Arabidopsis thaliana: one gene and its partners. The protein of the gene in region 4 purifies or fractionates together with the protein of the main gene of each other region. This does not show direct contact. Each region holds a gene or a part of one and is shown on either strand. Other genes may lie near its edges. The genes, in order: BTF3, AT1G32880, IMPA-8 and ECIP1.

Evidence for each region.
Region 1: the proteins of ECIP1 (region 4) and BTF3 fractionate together in Arabidopsis thaliana (co-fractionation; one large-scale study listed by BioGRID). This does not show direct contact.
Region 2: the proteins of ECIP1 (region 4) and AT1G32880 fractionate together in Arabidopsis thaliana (co-fractionation; one large-scale study listed by BioGRID). This does not show direct contact.
Region 3: the proteins of ECIP1 (region 4) and IMPA-8 fractionate together in Arabidopsis thaliana (co-fractionation; one large-scale study listed by BioGRID). This does not show direct contact.

The regions. Positions count from the first base shown.
Region 1 is NC_003070.9:6,150,689-6,155,536, forward strand, and holds BTF3 (basic transcription factor 3), read right to left. Parts: upstream 3,295-4,848; 5' UTR 3,178-3,294; intron 2,738-3,177; coding exon 2,670-2,737; intron 2,581-2,669; coding exon 2,432-2,580; intron 2,343-2,431; coding exon 2,286-2,342; intron 2,193-2,285; coding exon 2,154-2,192; intron 2,069-2,153; coding exon 1,884-2,068; 3' UTR 1,696-1,883; downstream 1-1,695. Other genes in the region: EGY3 (ethylene-dependent gravitropism-deficient and yellow-green-like 3), read right to left, coding at 20-258, 342-566, 661-858, 952-1,497; GER2 (NAD(P)-binding Rossmann-fold superfamily protein), read right to left, coding at 3,790-4,754.
Region 2 is NC_003070.9:11,913,014-11,917,156, forward strand, and holds AT1G32880 (ARM repeat superfamily protein), read right to left. Parts: upstream 1,723-4,143; coding exon 1,597-1,722; intron 1,439-1,596; coding exon 1,311-1,438; intron 1,213-1,310; coding exon 915-1,212; downstream 1-914. Other genes in the region: NAC13 (NAC domain protein 13), read left to right, coding at 1-150, 270-679.
Region 3 is NC_003076.8:21,117,832-21,123,561, forward strand, and holds IMPA-8 (importin alpha), read right to left. Parts: upstream 3,289-5,730; coding exon 3,271-3,288; intron 3,187-3,270; coding exon 3,087-3,186; intron 2,994-3,086; coding exon 2,911-2,993; intron 2,837-2,910; coding exon 2,714-2,836; intron 2,636-2,713; coding exon 2,459-2,635; intron 2,384-2,458; coding exon 2,220-2,383; intron 2,137-2,219; coding exon 2,058-2,136; intron 1,960-2,057; coding exon 1,831-1,959; intron 1,734-1,830; coding exon 1,606-1,733; intron 1,518-1,605; coding exon 1,193-1,517; 3' UTR 1,115-1,192; downstream 1-1,114. Other genes in the region: AT5G52010 (C2H2-like zinc finger protein), read right to left, coding at 3,795-4,985.
Region 4 is NC_003075.7:12,779,469-12,786,215, reverse strand, and holds ECIP1 (MA3 domain-containing protein), read right to left. Parts: upstream 4,455-6,747; 5' UTR 4,303-4,454; exon of another isoform or gene 4,219-4,302; 5' UTR 3,906-4,218; exon of another isoform or gene 3,768-3,905; 5' UTR 3,754-3,767; coding exon 3,549-3,753; intron 3,393-3,548; coding exon 3,298-3,392; intron 3,123-3,297; coding exon 1,314-3,122; 3' UTR 1,019-1,313; downstream 1-1,018. Other genes in the region: AT4G24805 (S-adenosyl-L-methionine-dependent methyltransferases superfamily protein), read right to left, coding at 158-901; AT4G24790 (AAA-type ATPase family protein), read right to left, coding at 4,871-4,948, 5,044-5,095, 5,189-5,615, 5,703-5,897, 5,997-6,173, 6,264-6,483, 6,570-6,747. UniProt on the Arabidopsis thaliana protein: Involved in target of rapamycin (TOR)-regulated translation control, especially under energy-deficient conditions. Involved in the regulation of the ethylene-mediated signaling pathway. Involved in salt stress responses.

The DNA of each region.
Region 1 (4,848 bases), on a different chromosome or scaffold from region 4:
AATTTAATGAAGCACTTACAAAGCATTGTCACCTCCATTGAAACTACCATCAGATATAAACGCAGCTGCTGCAAGCAGAAGCGAGGTCAGGTACGCGCTAGCTGTACGGGCTACTGGGATGTCGAATAACGCCTTTTTATTAGGAAGCAATGACTCATAATTGTTCATAACTCCTAAGCAACCAGTCCAATTTGATGGCACAAGAAACGACGGGCTTAATTTGACACCGTGTCGCGCAGCGGTTACTCTAGTTGCTATCTGAAGCAAAGAACTAACAGGTTTAGTTACATGTATACAGCAAAGGAACCTGGAGTTAGTTCTTTTAATTTGCTTCGGCTTACCTCTGAGACACCTAAGATGGAAAGGAACCCGCCAAAAAGAGGAACTACATTAGCAATGTAGTCATCAAAAGTGGCGTCGGGTTTCAGGAAAAACCCACTCATAAGAGCTATGGTTCCAAAGGTTGTAACACATAAAGCAATTGCACTAACATATCCCCAAGGAGTGCTTAATCTAGTTGATTCAAACTGTAGATCAATTTCCGCCTTCGGCTGCACCATACACACCTTTAAAAGCACAAATAACAAACAATTCACAATTAGCTTAAATCCTGAGATCAAAGAACATCAAAGTTAAAGAGTTTTCAAAGCTTTCTTCTACCTGCTTTGTGATCTCATTGGACCTTTCTTCCATAAACCACACAACAACATCACGCCCAGCTGCTTCAGATAGCTTAGCTTCAAGCTTAGGTGTGACTTCATCAATGGGTTTTCTCAGGTTCCCAATGAAGATTCCTCCATCTCCAAACCGGCGAACATCCGTAGCGAAAAATGTATCGAACCCAAAACAGCTCTTCAACTGTCCCATCATCACAAACCACTTTCAAAAACAATGCATTCCAACAAAACAAAGAAGAATCATAGCATAAGAGAAATGAATTCATTTTTTTACCTTGTTGAGATCAAGAGCCTTGAAAGTCTCTTCTGCTTTCTCAAGCCTTTCTTTCTCTTTAGTCAAACTATCACGAGCCAAGCTGTTGTAAATTCCAATGATCGGATTCTCACTGTTGCTTTCCTTGTTCAGCTCCTTGAGCTTACGATCAGTTCTCGTCTTCTCAAGCTTTATCGCAGCTTCGATAGATGGATTCCCCATAAACTTCTTGAACTCCTCGTCTGTTTTCCAATCCATCTCTTGCTGCTTCGACTTCTTTTCCTCCTCTTCTTCACTGCTCTCTGGAGAAGGCGGCGCATTATTGTTATCGTGGTCTTCTTTTTGCTCCTCCGCTAACGCCACCGGAGAAGGAGCTTCGTTCACAGGTTCACGAACGCGATCATCTTCCGCTGAACATCTCAAAGAATGTCTGCTTCTCGTTGTCTGATTCACAGAAGCTTTCCCAAAGTTCGAAAATTCTGCTCTGTCAAAGCGACGAAGATGCAAACTGTGACAGGATTTAAGAGTTAAGGAAGATGATGGAGTAGAAACAAAGAGAGAAGCCATGGTTTACGAAAACTCAGAAAGATTGAGATTTGACGACGAATAGACATGTCTCTGAGAGAGAATTTGTAGAGAAAGTGATGAAATGTCTGGAAAGTTTGAGAAGAAACTCATACAGTACAGGTGGAATGGTTTTTATGCAACAAGACAATGTGTCACATCAAAATCTTCTAATCCACATAGTGAAGAGGAAGAAGAAGACGAGGACCTGATTTGCTGTCAAAGAATCAATAAGACATCAAATAATTGGATAAAAACCTTAAGTCATTAGATGGAAAACAAGATTCTGGTCGGAAACTACAAAAAGGATCGAGCGAACAAACATATTATAAAGATATGTAAAAATCAAAGTGCGGTTTTTTTTTGGATGTGGTCTCGCTCTTTTCTCTCTAAGAAGAAGCAGCAGCAGCTGGTGCTTTCTCTTCAGCAGCAGTTTCGAATGTCTCTCCAACAAGCTCTGGGACATCGTCATCATCCTCTTCTTGTATGGTTGCTGAGGCGGCATTACCTTCACCAGAAGCCTGTTTCTGGAACTGTTCTGCTAGCTTCTTCAGGTTGTCCATGTTGTCTGGTCCTGAAAGAGATCAAAGTAACATAAAGTTAGAGACCTTAGGATCGATGAAGAACATTTAAGAGCTGTACAGTTACATGGTACACACCAAGTTGGCTGATGATCTGAGGAAGGATATCTTGCAATTCTGCAGGAAGCAACACGTTTACATTAATCAGAGAAGATGAAATGAAGAAGAAACAAGAAAGTAGAGATTAAGAGATATTATGAGATGCAATACTTTTGGTCTGAGGAGAACCGCTAACAACCCATGTGTTTGCAGCAATTGAAGCTTGAACTGTAGTAACATTCAAAGGAGGAACAATGATCAGTAACATGAAAAAAAGGTTCTGATGTATAGATAAAAAATGGTTAAAAATGACTTACCCTTAGGGTTGATGAACTGAATAACAACATCATCCTTAAAGATGTTAACTTCTTCAATAGCGGGAATGGAGTTAACTCCAATTCTCTTAAGAGTGCTTTGAAGCCTCTTGTCATCAGTTGTATTGGTCTTGTGCACAGCCTTCTTCTTTCTGCAAGTAAAAATCGAATGGTTTCATAACACAAATCATAGTAAATGCTAAGTATTGAACAATGAAATTGGTTGAATAAAACTCTATACCTTCTGACAGTACCCTTTCCGCCAGTGCGGACGGTATTAGCCATCTTCATCAACTTCTCCCTATTCATCTGTGTATAAACCATAATAAGAAGCAAAATCCATCAATCCCCAAATCACTTCCAAAAGAATCAATGAACACATTAACTGCTAATAATACATTCACAAAAACTTCTTATTATACAAGAAACTAGTGAGAAGAAAGTAAGCGCGAACAGATTTAAACTCAGATGCGTATGAAGACACGGTGATGTGACTAGTAGTTTTAACCTAAATTTAATCATTTTCAATCGATTAGGTATACCAAATCCCCCAATCAAACACACAGAGAAGTTGAAAACCCAGTAAATTCCCAAACACCGACAAAAACTAATCCTATCTACAGAAAGAAGCGAAATGAATCAAGAAAGAAAGATATCTGACATTTTGCAAAATCGGGGATTAGAGAAACCCTAGAACCGGAGAGATAAAACACTAATAGAAAGGAAAATTACAGTGATAATGAATTTACCTTGAGATTAGGGTTCTTCCTTGTTCGAAGAGTGTGAGGAGATAAGAAAATGAAACAAAAAGAAAAGAAACAGAGAGAGGAGAGACGCGGGCGGCGCAGGGTTTTGCCCTTTAACTATATGCTATTCGGAGCCAACCTCGTCTCTTAATCTAACGGTGGATATCAGATATTCCATAAAGAAATCTCCATCACTACCGTTGGATGCTCGATGATAATATTGGCCCATAAGGCCCAAAACTAAACTGGGCCAATAATTATTTACTGGGCTCTTTTGTGCCGTAATCAATCACCAGTATTAGCGCGTAGCAAACCATAATCTTTTGGTTACCAGAATTTCAAAATCCACAAATTTATCTAAATGAGTTTATCAATGAACAGACTTGTTTAGTTGACTAAAATTTAGAGAAGAAAGCTATTCGATTATTGATAATCTCAACAACAATGGTACATTTATTACAAAGTAAGTTTGCTTAACTTGAACTGTATGAAATCCATGAATACAAAAATTACATAAAAGAGATAGAGAGATCTGTATAGAACCAAAAATCAAACGCATAAACATTCACGTGTAAAGAGAATGAATATTGCTTTGTGTTTTGGACCTTGTTTTTTTTACTGCTTCTTCTGCACAACATTTTCCAAATACCATTCATAAGTTTGGGAGAGGCCATCTTTAAGCGAAATCTTCGGTGTCCATCCCAAAGACGCAAGCTTCGAGCTATCCATCAGTTTCCTTGGTGTCCCGTCTGGTTTTGTGGTATCCCAAACAAGCTTTCCTTTAAACCCAACAACTTCTTTCACCAACTCAGCCAATTCTTTGATCGTCACTTCAACACCACTTCCTACATTCACATGCTCAAATCCGCTGTACTGATCCATCAAGAAAACACAAGCATCAGCCAAATCATCGACATGTAAAAACTCCCTCAACGGGCTTCCACTTCCCCAAACCACAACTTCGTCAGCATTATTGGCTTTGGCTTCATGAAACCTCCTCATGAGAGCAGGCAGCACATGGGAATTCTCCGGGTGGAAATTATCATTCTGACCATACAGATTCGTGGGCATACCGGAGATAGCATCCCACTGATGCTGAAGCCGGTAAGCTTGACACATCTTAATACCCGCGATCTTGGCGATCGCATACCATTCGTTTGTCGGTTCGAGCGGACCGGTAAGAAGCGCAGATTCGGGAATCGGCTGAGGAGCAAATTTGGGGTAAATGCAAGATGAACCAAGGAAGAGGAGTTTCTTCACACCGTGTGTATAAGCAGAGTGGATCACATTGGTCTGGATTTGGAGATTGACCCCAATGAAATCAGCTGGGTATGTGTTGTTAGCATGAATCCCACCGACTTTAGCAGCAGCTAGGATGACATAAACTGGTTTCTCTGTAGCAAAGAAAGATTCAACATCTGATTGGCTAGTGAGATCAAGCTCTGAATGGGTTCGAAGGACCAAATTGGTGAAACCCTGATCCTGGAGCTTGCGGACAATGGCAGATCCAACCAATCCCCTATGTCCAGCGACAAAGATCTTGGCGGATTTCTCTAACATAAACGAACCTGATTTCATCTCTGCACAGAATTACGAGGGATCAAAGACCTAGGGTTCCAAAATTTCCACGAAAATCTAAATTCAATTCCACAAAACTCCGTATATAGACATGAA
Region 2 (4,143 bases), on a different chromosome or scaffold from region 4:
AGTTCCAGCAGCAATCAGGGAAGAACCAAGCTAGTAACTGGCCACTCCGTAACAGCTATACCAGACAGATAAACAATGGATCATCGTGGGTGCAGGAGCTAAACAATGACGGACTTACCGTTACCCGGTTTGGTGAGGCGCCTGGTACAGGTACTTGAAAGCACTAACAGATTTTCCTGTAGATACCTCTTTTCACTCGCATACTAAATATTCTATCTAATTGTGAGGAAAGCGACTGGCTTCTTATCCTAATCATATTCCCTTGACAGGTGATTCATCTGAATTCCTAAACCCTGTTCCTTCTGGTATAAGTACAACTAATGAAGATGACCCGTCAAAAGACGAGTCTAGTAAGTTTGCTTCTAGTGTATGGACTTTCCTGGAATCCATTCCTGCAAAGCCAGCATATGCATCAGAGAATCCATTTGTGAAGCTGAACCTTGTTAGAATGTCAACCAGTGGTGGTCGTTTCAGGTTTACTTCTAAAAGCACAGGTAATAATGTTGTTGTTATGGATAGTGACTCAGCAGTGAAGAGGAACAAGTCTGGAGGAAACAACGATAAGAAGAAGAAGAAGAACAAAGGTTTCTTTTGCTTATCGATCATTGGGGCTTTATGTGCTTTGTTTTGGGTGATCATAGGAACAATGGGAGGTTCAGGGAGGCCTTTGTTATGGTGAGAACCGAAAAATCCAAGAGGTTAAGAGACATAAAGGCTTGGTTTTGTGTGAACCATTAGAGAGTCAAGTCATTGTAATTATTCTCTTGGATTATTAGATTCAGAAGCTGTTTAGTATCACAGTTTATGCTTGGAAGTTTTCTCTGGTATTGTTAAAAAAGTACCAATAGAAATAAGCAAAAGAATTTTCTTATCTTTTAGGATATTTGAACAAATGATGTTACTTAACTAGATTATTAACTTGGAGGTTGTTGTATATCCTCATCATCCTCTTCAAGCCAGTAAGTCTGCAGAATCTTCAAAGCCTTGTCGTAGATCTCGATGTTTTCGTGTCTTTGCAGGTTCAAAATCTTATCTAGCCCTTCCGCTTCGATCAGTCGAGTATACCAGCTCACGTCGTCTCCTGCGTTCTTTTCAGCCTCTCCAACCTTCAATGTGTTTTCCATTCCATCCAGACACTTTAAGATGGTTTTTACATCTGGACAAAACAGGATATCACATAAAGGTTTGATGCAGCTCTGCTCCACCATGTATCTGAATCACACCAATAAATGGAGATTGTGACTTTGATGATCATCTATAAGCATGTTAAGTTGAAAGTGCAAAAAGAAAGAAATAAGACAGGGACGTACTTGATTTGATCATGAGAACCAAGTAAGGTCGCATTTGAAATTGCGCATACAGATTCTTTCTTCATGTCAAATTCAGCATTCTGAGTCAGTTTGACCAAGGTTGGAATCAAATTTGCATCGATTACTGACTGTTATCACCAGGGGAAAACAGTTTAGTTTAGTGAGATAGCAAATAGACAAATTGTTTTATGTTGTGCACCTGAATCATTGTATATATATCAGAATCAAAGATTACACTGATCATCAATAAAAACATCAACTTGATGGGGGAAATTTTTCTTCTAACTTGAAGCTTAGGGAAACTTTCATCGAGAAGAAACTGAATGAGACGATGTACAGCTCCAGATCGTATCACTGTTTCGATAGGACCACGCATATCTTCTGCACATGTAATATAAGAAACATTACGCATATCTTCTGCACATGTAATATAAGAAACATTCGAGTGAATGAAGAATCTTTCAAATCGATCAAGAAAAAGAGTAAAAGAGAGATTTGATTTACTCTTCTTTTTTTTTTGAAAAAATGTTAAATTATATTCAAAAAAAAACAAAACGTTTTTACAACTCGTGCAACGTTTAGCAAAATGAGAAAAGCTGAGAAAAAAAATAGTTAGAAATTAAAGGTGTTTAGAGAATGTTTAGAGTGAGCTGTACGTTGCCCTTGTCATATCTTCGATCACCTGCTTATCTATCCAAGTTATCAAGTGTGACGTGGTGTTCGGTGTTTCTCCATGACGACGCCCATTCCTCTCTCTCCAAACTGTGTGTATTGTAGCTTGAAAGACATACCGGATTAAGAAACCATCGACTCGCTGTAATGACTTGTCTGAAACATAGGCCAGAATTTGTGGCCATTCCTTTGTGAATCTGGTCTTCCATAGCTTCTTAGCTACGTCACCCCAAATTGTCGAGACATAGTTGCAGGAGAAAAACAAATGATCACGAGTTTCCATAGTGTTAGTACAAAACACACAGAGACCCGATTCTCCTCTGTTCCATTTAACCATATGCTCCCCTGTTGAGAGCCTATCTTGGACCGCGAGCCAAGTACAAAACGAAAACTTTGGTGTGGCGTGATTGAACCAACCCCCGTTGTACCAGGGGACTGTGGGAGAAGGAGCTCTGATATGGTGCCACGTTTCTTTGGTAGAGAATGATGCATTGTACACATTATTTCGCCTTGTCTCTGTACTTTAGTATTTTTCTCCAAATCCAAGAGCCTGCATTTGTATTCTGCTTCAATGTCCAAAAATGCTTCCTCCTAAGAAGGTATGTGGTGACCCATTGAACCCATAAAGACTTGCTATTAGAAATGATTCGCCAGACCAACTTTAAACAACAAACATCATTAGCTTTTGTCAAGCTTCGCAAACCCAAACCCCCCTCTATTTTCGGCTTACAAACTTTTTCCCACGATATCTTTGCCTTCTTTGAACTCAGTTCTAAACCCGACCATAGGTAAGCGGAGCAAATCTTGTCAATCTCTCGGATACACTGTCTCGGTAAACGAAAAGCGCCTAGCCAGAAATTGCAAATACTCCAGAGGATAGATTGAATCAAGTTGAGCTACCTGCATATGAGAGGTAGCGTGAAGTCCACGACGCGATGCGTTTCCTAATCTGCTCAAGAAGAGGATCATAATCCTCAGCCATGAGTCTCTTAGTAACAAGAGGCAAACCTAAGTATCGAACTGGCAATTGACCTATATCAAAAGGGAAAAGAGCTGCAATCTCTGCTTTCACTAAAGGTGATACTCCTGCCATATACATTGTCGACTTCTCCATACTTATTTTTAACCCAGAGTACTTATAAAACTCATCAAAAACCTTCACTATACCCTATATGGATCTAACCTTACCATCCGTTAGAACCATCAAATCATCTGCAAAACTTAGATGAGTGAGCTTTAAACGTTGACAATGAGGATGGAAACCAAACTTGTGAGCTCCGGCAGCCTTATCCAACATCTTTGAGAGGACATCCATGCTTATGACAAACAGATATGGCGAGAGAGAGCAACCCTGACGTAAACCCCTTGCACTTTGGAAATAACCAGCGAGATCGCCATTTACTTGGACTGAAAAAGAGGCCGTAGTAATACACAGTTTTAACCAATGTATAAAAACCGCAGGAAAATTCATAGCCAATAAAACATTCAGCAGAAAAGCCAATTGGACCGAGTCAAACGCCTTCGAGATATCTATTTTAATAGCACAACGGGTAGAGACTTAATCTTTATAATAGTCCTTGACTAGTTCCGTAGCAAGTAACAGATTTTCGATGAGTAATCTGTCTTTTACAAACGCCGACTGATTTCCCGCAACAAACTCTGGCAGAAGCACTTTCAATCTGTTAGCAATGATCTTAGAAATTACCTTATAGATTACGTTGCAGCATGAAATAGGTCTATAATCCTTCATTTCCTTAGCTTCTAGCTTCTTTGGAATCAGAGCTAAAATAGTTGAGTTTATTCCTTTTGGAAGGAAACCTTTTAGAAAAAAAGATTGAACTGCCAAAATGAATTCAAGTCCTATGGTAGCCCATGTTGCCTTATAGAACTCTGTGGTATAACCATCTGGTCCCGGAGATTTGTCCTTCGGCATTGAAAACAGAACCCTCTGTATCTCCTCCGCAGACACCTCACGAGTAAGCAGCTCTTGATCAGATTCAGAACAACGAAAAGGTAGCAAGTTCTGAAGCTCACTAACATCGCAGCCTGCATAGTCCTCTGGGATAAAATGCAGAAATTCTCTAAAGAATCTCTCAGCCTCCACTTTTATCTCATCACCCTTTACAATGCTACCATCTGCACATTGAATTTCCTTGATCTG
Region 3 (5,730 bases), on a different chromosome or scaffold from region 4:
TGTTTTCAGGTGTTGGAACTTTTGGAGATATTTTTATTACAGAAAGTGAAGAAGTGTTGTGTTTTTATTTTATAAGAAAAGTGAGAAACACGGAGGATCTGGTAACGACAAGTGTCCCACGGTATGTGACTTACACGTGTCCTTCTGAATCACTTTACTTCGTCTAAGTGTATTGTGTACTGTGGCTGGTTCCGATTCGATGGTTCAGTTTTGATATTTATTATTTTATTGAATTTAAGTATGGTGTTCGGAGAAAGGGGACGATTTAGAAAAAGACAAAACAGTCTTTAGTTTTAAAAAGTGATAAAGATACGTTGAGGATGACGTCATGGGAACACGTTTTTGACAGTTGGAGTGTAAACTGCTCTCTGTGGTTCGAAAGGTGAGCCACGTTTGAAGGGACGGGTTCGTCCGCTGTCTAGCCACGGTTTGGGGTTTCGCTTTTTGTAATCTGACCCACGCGCTTTTAGCTTTTGGTGTGGGTCCCTTTTCTTATTCATTATTTTTGGCAATTGTTTGGATTATATTTATTTCTGTGTTTTATTATTGGAAATCCATTGGATTATTCTATGAACTTCTTCTAACTATTATCATCATCAGCCTTACCAAAAAACAAAAGTATTATCATCATCAACTAAGCCAAAGATGGATACGTGGCCAAGGCGGATTGTGTATTTTTTTCATTATGTACCCAAAATACATTGAACCAGTAGTTTAAAGACAATCCAGTCTTGTTGAACCAGTCGAGTTTTTTATTCTTTAATACAACAAAAAAAAAATCAATCAAAATGGAGTTGTCTTCATTCGATTCGGTTTCAAAAATAATTAGACCCTTTCGCATAATTTTATAAATGAATATTTGATTTTATAATCAGCAAGGCCAAGGAGATTTCAAGAATTTGAGTAACTTTTTTACTAAACGTCTAAACCTTTCAACTAAAACCAAACACAACATCAATTAGACGACGAGCTTTAACACAGAAAACTTTTAAAACCCAAAACAATGTACTAGACTCCATGAACGATGGAGCCAAAGCTTTTACATCAACTTTGTACATTCAATTAAAGACCAAGTAAAGCCCTGAGACAACAAAGGTGCAAAGCCTTTGGTCCCATGTAAGATGTTTTTTTTTCACTATAACAAATAATTGTGTTGGGATCTTCCATATAAGGAACTGGAACTTTGGTTCTCTCACACCTGAAAGTCCACATCATCACATCGGACGTTGTTGTTGTTGTTCTCATCATCCTCTTCAAACCAATTCGTCACCAGAATCTTATAAGCCTTCTCGTAGATATCATCGTTTTTGTTCATTTGCAGCTTCGAAATCTTTTCTAGCCCTTCCGCATCTTCAATCAGTAGACAATAAGGGTTCACGTCTTCACTGTTCTTTTCAGCCTCTCCGGCCTTCAACATGTTTTCCAATCCATCCAGACACTTTAAGATGGTGGTTCTTTCATCTGAATATACTAGGATATCACATAATTGTTTTATGCAACTCTGCTCCGCCATGTATCTGAATCACACCAATGGAGAATTGTGAGACTTGATGATCTATAATAAGTACATTAAAGTTGAAAAAAGAAACAAGACAGGGACGTTACTTGATTTGATCATGAGAACCATTTAAGGCCATATTTGAAATTGCCCATACAGCTTCTTTCTTCATGTAGAAGTCAGTATCTTGAGCAAGATTGACCAAGATTGGAATCAAATTTGCATCAATAACTGACTGTAATCACCAGGGGAAAAAGAAAAACAAATTAGTGATAGCAAAAGACAAAAATGGTAAATTTTCATTGGGGATAATAGCAACAAAAGTTTCTCACCTGAATTTGTTCTTTAGTCCCTGCAGTGATGTTTGAAATCACCCAGCAAGCACACTTCTTTATTTTGTTCTCGTGGTTTCGAGTAAGCATGTTGGAAATAATGGGTAAAGCACCACTATTGATCACACACTGAAGAATAAGTTCAAAGAGGTGTATAACAAAGCATTTTGTTGTTTGGTTACAAAATCCAAAAGGTGGACAACGTAAGTTGAATATGAAATACATACCTGTGTCTGCTGATGATTTCCAGCAGTCATAGCCCCAATGGTAAGAAGTGCAGGAACAAGCACCACTGGAGAAGGGAGTCTGCAAAAGAAAAAAAACTGTCAGCCTTTCCTTATCCAAACATGTCACAAAAGGGTTAAATACATATTCTGAGAAGTACTAACTGGAGAATTTGAACTAGTTTTGGGACAAAACCAGCCTCAATCACACTTTGGATTCCATCTTCTGAACCCTCAGACAGATGACATAGTGCCATGCAAGCATTTTTCAAGACATCTTCATCATGTGAATGAAGAAGTATTTCAAGCGCAGGAAGAGCAGGTTTCACCTGTTGAATCATGCTTCATATGTTAAAAAGTATACAAAACAGAGGAAACAGAGACAGAGAGAGAAGTAAGAAGACCTGATCGAAAGCCGGGTGAGGCTTGCCACGACACAAGTTACGCAAAGCCCAAGTAGCAATTCTGAGTGTAGTATCCTTATACAGAAGACGCAACAGTGGCATCAATACCCCAGAGTTAAGAACAAAGTCACGGTAATGTATCGAATGACCAGCAACATTACTCAGTGTCCATATAGCCTGCAAGAATAATGTCAAAACTCATATCTGTGAGTCTGTGACAAGTATTCTCATATCTACACGTAGTAAAATACTTACCTGCTCACGAACATAATCTTTAGGAGAAGCAATAAGCTGAATTAATACTGGAACAGCGTTGTTATTAACTACCACGCCCGGATTGTCAACAGCAATGTTTGTTAGAGCCCAAGCTACCTCATACTATAAAAACAAAGATCACTGAATATATCGTAATCAAAGGTTACACTGATCATCATCATAAAATATCAACTAACTTGAAGCTTGGGGAAAACTTGATTTTTAAGCAACTGAACGAGACGCGGTACAACTCCAGATCGTATCACACAAGATATATCTCCTGGAAAGATATTAGAGTAAATGATAAAAGACGAATCTTTCAAACCGAGATCAAGAAAAAGTAAAGAAAGTAAAAAACAGAGGAAGTTTTTACTCTGTGATGTAATACGTCTGATCTTGGTAACGGATTCAAGTTGTAATGGAGGATCATCTGACCAAAGACCATCGATTATATCATCTGAAACTTCGTTCACCTACAATCCAAACCCTAAAAACCTCACTAGTCCAACACAAAATCAACCAGAGAGTGATTACTTGTGAGATAGTTTTAAACGGACCTCTGTTTTCCAAGCCATGGCTTTTCTCTCTTCTTTTCGACCTCTCCAAAGCAATTTAGAAAACTTAAAGACTAAACCCTAGAAATCTCAACTTGAAATGTGAGAGAGGCAAAGATTTTGCAATCAAGCAAGAATGCAAACAAAAATGGTGAAGCAGAATTTTAACGAAGCGTAAAAAAACGGGTTTTTCAGTTATCGTTTCTTTCTTGATTTTATTTTAACCGTCTGATCAAAAAATCCAGTCGCTACTTAACCGTCTACTCTAAACCGATCAAAATAAAAATTTGATTTGAATCCGGTTTACTCCAACCCAAAATTTCAATTCGACAAACCACAATACCACAAAATCTTGGTTTATGTAAGAACTTGAATTCTCAAAGCCTTTGACCACATGAATGCACAAAATCTTGGCTTATGTAAGAATGGTTTTACATTTGATTTCAATTACATCGACCAAAGCTCCTATGAACTCTATTCGTAAACCAATTAACAACACTTAGAAATGCAACTCAATTCACCATGAATCAGAAAAGCTCATCATCACTATCATCATCACTACTATCACTCAACACAAAGTCTCCTTCATCCTCCACCCATTCATCTTCCGAAAACGCCGATACATTAAACCTCCCAAACCCATCACTCTCCACCGTCATCTCCGCCTTCTCATCCTCATCATACGACAACGAAAACAACTCATCATTACCACCAAATCCCACCTCATCCTCCTCAAACCTTGGTCTCTTCCCCGGAATCAAATCCTTCTCACCAATCTCTCCCTTCTCAACACCACTCCAAGGCACCCACAAATCAGCATGCCTTCCCAATGCTCTATCCATATCACTAACAACCAAAGTCCCAAGATCAGCCTCTCTAGCTTTCCTCAACATATCAGAAAAATCCTTATCATCCGACACCAAAACCAACCAATCAATCCCTCTAGTCATTGAATGTTGTATCTGTCTCTTAACCGCCCAATCCGCAGCCTGAGGCTTATCCTCAACCGTCTTAACATAAACCCCTGCTCGACGTAGCTCAGCCTCTAAACCATATCCAACTTTAGGAGTCAACAAACTCCTCGCAGCCTCATTATACTTCTCATTCCCTGAAACATAACGCTCCTTAAACTTCTGACGTTTCTTACCTTTCAAAGATCTCATCCTATTAACTTTCTTCTGTCTCTCCCTCTCATGAAGCTGCTTGAAATGTTTCTTCAAATCAAGATTGGTTTTACACTTGCGACCACAAACACCACAAATGTACGGATCAATTGGAGTCACTTCTCCTTTCCTCTCCATGAAATCAAGGTTCCTCCTTTCTCGTCTCTCTTCGACGACCCAATGAGGTAAATGGATAAAAGCATGACGATTTGCGTAAGCGGAGATTTCGACGACTCGGCCGAGTTTCTCAGCGACTTTACGGAGAGCTGTTGCGGCTTCGTATGGTGGACCTCGTGGTGGTTTGTTGTCTAAGTCCCATAAGACTACAACTTTCTTCTCCTTTGGTGCAAAGATACCTTCTTTGTTTCTTACCATATCGATTTCTGATGAAGATGCTGATTTCAGACATGATTCGATCCGCCATTGGTGACGAAGTGGGAAGCTTGTGAATTTAGGGTTTTGGAATTTGGAATTGGAGAAGGTAAAGAAGTGAGATTTGTGTGAAAGGAATGGTTTTGGATAAAGGGTTTCGATTGAATTACAGAACAAACTCATTGGAAGCTTCGAATTGCCACTGAAACTAGCGTAGGTGATCGGTGGCTTCGGAGAGATTCGGTAATTGTAGTGGACGTGAATCAGAGATTGTCTCTCTGGGTAAGTTTGGGTGTGGATTGTTATCTTCTAGCATGTCCGGCGAGGAAGACGACGGCTATGTGGATAGTCTGAGCTAACAAAAGTTTATCCTTTTGCTTTTGTTGTTTGAGAGCCTCTTGTACACTCGGAGGGTCTTGACGAGAGAGACTTTACCTTTGTTTTTTACTTTCTAACTGTTTCACTAACTCAAGTTGATCCAGGGATATGAAATATGCTAAAGACACATGAGACACAATGCATAAGGATGGGTGAGAATATATTGGACATGATGGTATTTCAATTTGAAATTATAAGGATGGGTGAGAATATATAAAAAGATGAGTGATTAAAACCATATAAAATGTGAGGTATGCAAAAAAAAATATAAGGACACGAAACTGGTAAAAAAGCTTTTGAGGTATCTTTATGCACAAAAGGTTGTCATGACATGAATGTAGTACTTGACACATATAACGTCGAGTTTGGAGAAGTAATTGACATCTTTCAAGCTCATGAGATAAATTTTGAACTCCTAAAGGTTAGAGAATCCTAAGACAGTAGATCTAGTAGTATATATGGTAAAAAAGAATCAGAGAGAAGCGGAAGCCATTGAAAACCTATACAAAGGTTAACAAGAAAAATGATCTATGTTGTTTTGTTTCTAGTC
Region 4 (6,747 bases):
ATTTATTTGATGTATACATTTGCAAGTGTATAATAAATGATAGAAAATGAAAATACAGTCCAAAAAAAGAAACAATTTGCTATCAACTTAACAACGAATCTATGTAATGAAATGAAACAAATTAAAACAAAACTACATTTATGAATCTTGAAGTGTTTTAGTTCATGTTCTTTCTAAAAACAATCTCAGTGTCAAGCCCAAACCCATCGATCTTCCTCATCTCCACAACCTTGGATCTCTTAAACAATTTCACCAATGGTTTCACACTAAGCAAATCGTTAGCCGAGTACTTATCCGTCTTCCCAGATATCGACACGTGTAACACACACACCCCTCCGGGCTTTAAAGTCCGTTCGATCTCCCCAACGAACTTCTCCGGGTAAAGCGCGTGATCGAACACGTTTGAGAATTCGAAATCGAATGTCTCTTCGTCGAACGGCTGCGCGTGGAAGTCACCTTTCACCACGAGAGGTGGTCGCGGAACCAGATCTATTCCGACGGAGTCTTCCACGCCGATCAATCTCAACGCCGCAACCTCTTGTCCAACCCGAGCACCGATCGAGAGAGCTTTTGATTGATTTGAGAGAAGACCGCGATCGCTGAGACGTCGGAAGAAAGTGGAGAACACACGAACTTTCCTGTCCCAGTCGCGCGTTGTCCATACCTTACGTAGCTTCGGGTTCTGAGTTTTGTTGAGCTGGTGTTTGATGTATGCTTCGTAGGAGGAGTATCCATGGTGACGGATCCGTATTCCTTCGTCGGCAACGGAGGTGACGGAGGAAGAGGAGGAGAGAGGACGGCGGAGGAATGTGGTGGGGAAGGCGAAGAGGAAGATGATGAGAAAAGAGAGGGAGAGGAAGAGAGAGAGTGTGAAGGGTAGTTTTGGTATTACGAATTTCATGTTAGCTTCGAGACTTCCCTTCCTTGTTGTCTCTGTGTGTACATCGAAGCATATATGGGAATTTATTTAATTAAAGAAATGATTAAAGTTTGGATCATAATTAGAAAAACACCAAATGCAAATAATATAGTTTGTTTTGTCTAATTGTCATCAAGGCATTATTATTGACTCTGAATTGAAACTTGATCCAATATAGCCCCAAAGTTCCGTTGGACTAAATTCAGAGCAATAAAAAGGTCCTCTGAAGAAAAAAGTTAAACATTCGTGAAAAGATAAGCTCCCTGGGCAGAATTCTCAAAGCCTAAAAGTGCAAAACAAAACAACCACAGGGATGCTCAAGAGAGAAAGAGACTTGTACATTCTATCAGTTTTTTTTAGTTCACACACCATTTGGGATATCTCCTCTTGATCTCTAGCCTACATTAGCATCTTCAGTTAGGGAAGTTAAAAACGACGACGAAACCCAACCATTCTTCTTCCCATACTCCACGTAGTCGTTGAATTTCTCCTTTGCGTTTGGGATGTCTAAAGCAAGATCTTCAAGTCCGTCTTTGACTCTTGTGAACCCTTTGGTCATCTGGTTTGTGGTTATGAGTCCTTCACTGAAACTCTCCTGCAGAAGATCCAGCATCATCTTGTCCTTCTTCTTCTCCATACCCATCACCAGTGCTTTCTTCACCACCTCATGGTTGAAGAAAGGCATGCCTAGCTCATGGATGCATTTGCATGCTTCTGATACCAGCCCTGAGCTTTCGTATTCCTCCAGGAGATTTGATATCTTGTCCTTTGCATCTTCCACTGCCCAACCGCTCCCACCTCCCCAGCATCTTAGAAGCCTCTCTCCTGCATGTCGAGCAAAGATGAGTGACCTAGCCATCTTCACGGTTTCAGTTCCGCTTGAGTTAGGGCGTAGTTTGCTACTGATCTCTTCCAGGTTAAAAGGTGCTAAAACATCATCGATCACAGCTCTAGCTAAGAACAGAGCAAGTTCGTTGGACGCATCCAGAATGTCAAGAGCTGTATCTTCTGCAGACTCCAGGAGCATGACGAAACCATCTGCAACATCTTCTGTGGTGAACATCTCGATGTGAAGAGATGAGAGAAGAACAGATGCCATTTCTTTCTCGTGATTCTTCCTGTCCAAAGCAAGTGTTATCAGCTTCTTTAGAAAAATTGGGTTGTACTCGGGTGCTCCTAAATCCTCAAGACTGCGTATGAGTTCTGGTATGTCATCAGAGTTGAAATACTCATGAATGATGGTCACAATGTCTTCCTTGAACCGCTTTAGTTTCTCATCCTCGTTCTGTTGTCGTCCACATTCACCAGAGGGATAACCAAACGAAGCATCAAGCCAACCACCTGAGACAGCTTTTGGCACAATCAAACCAAATTTGGTTCTAGCTGAAGGAATGTCAAGAGCAAGATCATCAAGGCTTTCTCTTAATCTTGAAAATCCCTTCACCATTTGACTAGAGCTTATCAGGTTTTCTGAAGCTGCTTCATTTAGCAGTTTCAATACAGGTGCTTCTGCTGCGTGGTTTTCCAAGGCAGTAACTAAGGCCCTCTTCACAACCTCATGGTGAAAGAAAGAAACACCCAACTCTCTTACGCAACGACATGCCTCATAAGTCTCTCCAGTCTCCACATATTCATTCAAAATGTCAGCAATCTTCTTCTTGACTTCCTCAACAGTGGTTCGAGTCTGTCCACCCCACCTTCTTTCTACTAGCTCAGCATGGTGTGCAGCTGATAGATAGCTTTTCTCTGCAGTTTGGACAACCTGGTAACCTTTAGAAGTTATTGGAAGTGCCTTGGCAGCCCTAGGAAGAAAAGCTGGAGGAAGTATGTCATCCACGACAGCACGTGCAAGGAACAAAGCAAGAACATTGACAGCATCAGGTATATCCACCACAAAGTCATCGGCTGACTCGAGCAGCAGGACAAATCCATCTCTTATCTGGTTCGGGTTAATGACATCAGCATACAATGCGGAAAGCAAAACCGAGGCCATTTCCTTCTCTTTGTCATGCCTGTCCATCGCTACCGAGACAAGCCGCTTGATGAAGTAGGGATGATATTCACTTGAACCAAGTTCAATGAGGTCAGCTGCTGCCACATCAACATCACCGGTGCTGAAGTATTCGTTAATGATGGAAGCTGCAGCTTTCTTGTAATCATCTAATGGGTCTGACAGAGTTGCACCAACAAGCTCGAATGGTTCCTATAAAACAAAAAAAAACACAAAGAGAGCTGAGACTGATGATCTCTAAAAAGTAACACACAATGGATAAATTTTCTACATCATCTGAACAGCAGATGGACAACAGAAACAGTTTTGTGCAAGTACTTTGGCAAGAAAATAATCAACCATCTAGTACGAAAGGTGCAGAAACTACCTCTCCACTGTCATAATTAGGATCATTCGGGTCAATGTGATAGTCTCCATCAGTGTCAATAAGTTTTCCCCAATTTCCTTTCCCACCACCTCCATCTGAAACAAAATTTATCAATCACCGCTACCCGAAGAACAAAGGAAGTATAAATATGCAATCTACACAATTTTCAGCTCCAAATTTGACTAAGAGCCATCCCTTGACACTTGATGGTTTAGAAACCCAAATCTAAACTGATAAAGGTAGTAACTGACCCTTCTTAGAGCGAATAGACCTTCCCGCATGAGACCTTCTGTGCTTCACAGCATTTGACGCACCAGAAGCTTTCCCACCACCAGATGGTTTAGGCAGATGCTCAAGTAAAACCGAGTGAGGTTTTTGTGAGGGTGGAAGATCATCTGCAGTCTGAGTTGCAACTTTCATCATCTCTCTCTGCTGATCCGTTAGGAAACCCTCCATCCTTGGCAATTACCCTAACAGTGAAACATCATCAAATCATTCCTTTAACAAACACATACCATACAATAAATATCAACCTAAAACCAAAACAGCATATAGCTAAAACCACAAGACACTGATGTGAAACGACATAAATGGAGATCTAAAATCACCAATCCATAATACAGAAGCCTATGCATCCCAAGGTTTCATCAAATTCTTCTACGTGTCATTCTTCACATATTTCTACAGCAATCAATCAATTAATCATTCCCGTGACTAAATGCCAAAACCAAAACATCGGAGAAATGTTTGAAACTCCAAGTACCAGTAACTGTTAATGTTCAAATCGCCTCGTCGTCAGCCAAACTATCCACAAAGCAGACCGTCGTACGGAAAAAGAGCAGGCGAGATCCGTGGTAAGAAGAAAGAGGACGGAGGCTAGATCGAAAAGAAGAACCCGAGTCTGAAGCTGCGTAAGCTATCCTGGAAAATAGTAGTAATGTTTGAGAGAAGATTGTTTGGAGAAGAAGATGGATTTGGGAATTTTGGGAGGAACAAAAAGCTTACAGAAATGGAGGCTGCTGATTCTCATCAAAGGTCTCATCATAAGGACTGTTGCCACGTGTTACTGTCTCAACGGTCACGATTGCTCGTTACATGTGCTGGCCTGTCCAAGAGAGATATCGATTAGGGTTATGGATTTAATTTTGGAGTTTTCCTACCAAAATAGTGAAACCAGATAATTTATAAATATCTCTCTGTCAATATCTTATCCCAAATTACTAAAACCTTATCCAAATTATGTTTCTAATTTCAAATCAGTTTATTGAAAAAATTAAACATTATCCACTTTTTGTAACAAAAAAGTTGAAGACTAATGTATTCACTTTATTCTGATTCGTTTTAATGAATGAGATAATTTGTGAAAACATAATGAGCTCAGTCAATAAAAGGGTCCAAAGACAGTAAAATTCAGGTCTGTTAAAGGAGTGATTAGTATATGCTAATCTAAAATATGGTCTTGAAACACATTTTGCAACTATACATTTTTGTGTCACATTGTCCTAAACAATGGGTTTGCTAAAACCTATTGGTTCCACTTCCACAAAATGGGTATTACCCTCATCGAGCTCCCTTAATTAGCTGCAGTGCTGCAGGGAAGGACTCGGCCGATAAGCCGTGAGCTCTTGCTGTTCTGTGTCTCGCTCTGACCCTATAAGACATGTATCATCATCACAAATTAGAAACACCAAAAAGGTACAGACAGAGATCTGAAACCGAATTCTTAGGCATAGTCGAGATGTTTACCTTGCCTAGGGGAGTCTTCTTCCAACACAACACATCAGTGTCATCTTCTGGCCTGCACAAAGTCAGAGGCAGAGTATACTTGAGTAGCTAGCCAAATCACAAAACAACTTACTTTTGAAATGAATAAATATGAACCATGTTTTACCTTTTTTCACCCGGAGGAATGTGTGGAGTACACATAGCAGAAGTTGCATCGCCTTGATCACTGGAACAGCTCATACGCGATGATGCATTGGCTGAAGAACGAACACTTCGAGCCCTCAAGACATTTCCTTGGCAACTTCTCAGAGAATTTGTAACTGCAGGCTTTTCAGATGCGCAGTCAGAGTCGGTTCTTGTAGTCAAATACGACTTGTGAAGCATTCTACGAGAACAACTGAAAAGTCCAAAGAAAAGACTTGCTGCTGCTTTAGCACTCTTTGGTGGAGAACACGCAGAGATAACAAGATTCATTTGGATCTCAACGTTGCATCCTAACACAGATTGGAACGAGTCTGCAATCAATTTCCATGATTTCTCGGCTCTTGCTACATGTTGAGGTGTGTAGAATTCTAACTCAGCTATTGCCACACCTGAAAAGAAAAAAGAATATGCATTTACTTATCTGAGACACAAGCCAAAGTAAAACTTTCAGACCATCTTTGGGAAATATAAGTTACCTTTGTCAACAGTAAGTGAAGTCAACCTTCCTCGTTTCCACAGAAATCTCTTTAGTGAATCAGAACAACACAAATCTGTAACCGTTTTCCACACAGATTCAACTGTTTCATTACAGTTTCTCTCTTGACCCTTCTCGGCATCTGATTTAATAACATCACCAGGACAACCTGATGATGTGCTGGAGAGCTCAACGTCTAGATACATGACCAAGGGTAAGTTATATATAGTTAGTAACCAAGACAACACGAAAAAGAAGCATGAAATAAAGGAAACGAGAATTTATGAATTAGGACCTTTGTTTATTTGGTTTCTTCCATTTTCATCTGTTGCAAAAGATGATGAGTCGGTGTTACTAAGTTGCAAAAGTGCCACAGTGAGCCAAGTTGTCTGGTTTTTCGATGCTCTCAAGTGTTTCTCAGCATCAGATAGTATCTTCAATGCATTTCTCAATTTCTGCATTTCTTCTTCAGCTATATATAGTAGAACAGTATATGATAAAGAGTGAGATCAGGTTTTAATTTGAAGCTGATATTCAAAGTAATCATCACTGGGGTGCTTACATGTATGCCTTGTAAGAAACCGAAGTCTGGTTGCTGAACTACTTTCTTGAGAGTTTCCAGCAATGATGTCCATAATGACATTAGCTAGCTGTGAAATAAGCTGCATTGGATCTATTTTGGATCTCATAAGTTCCCTCGCCCTTATAACCGTGTTTGAAGTATCAGAAGACATGGCAAGATCAAGCAGATCAAGCAATTCATCATCAGAAACAACCCCAATCTGCAGAATCAAAGAAATGTTGATCTTTCACTTCTAAACTATCTAATGTTTCCAAGACAAATATGAAGAAAGAAGTGTAAACTTACAAGCTTGTAGGCCAAAGATGTTGTTATTCTTTTACCGAGCAAACTTAACTGATCAAGCATTATCTCAGCATCCCGAAGTGAACCATCAGATTTAGAAGCAATGAAATCAACTGCCCCTTGATCAAAATCAATGCCTTCTTCAATACAAATCTTAGCCAGCTTAGTTGATATATCCGCA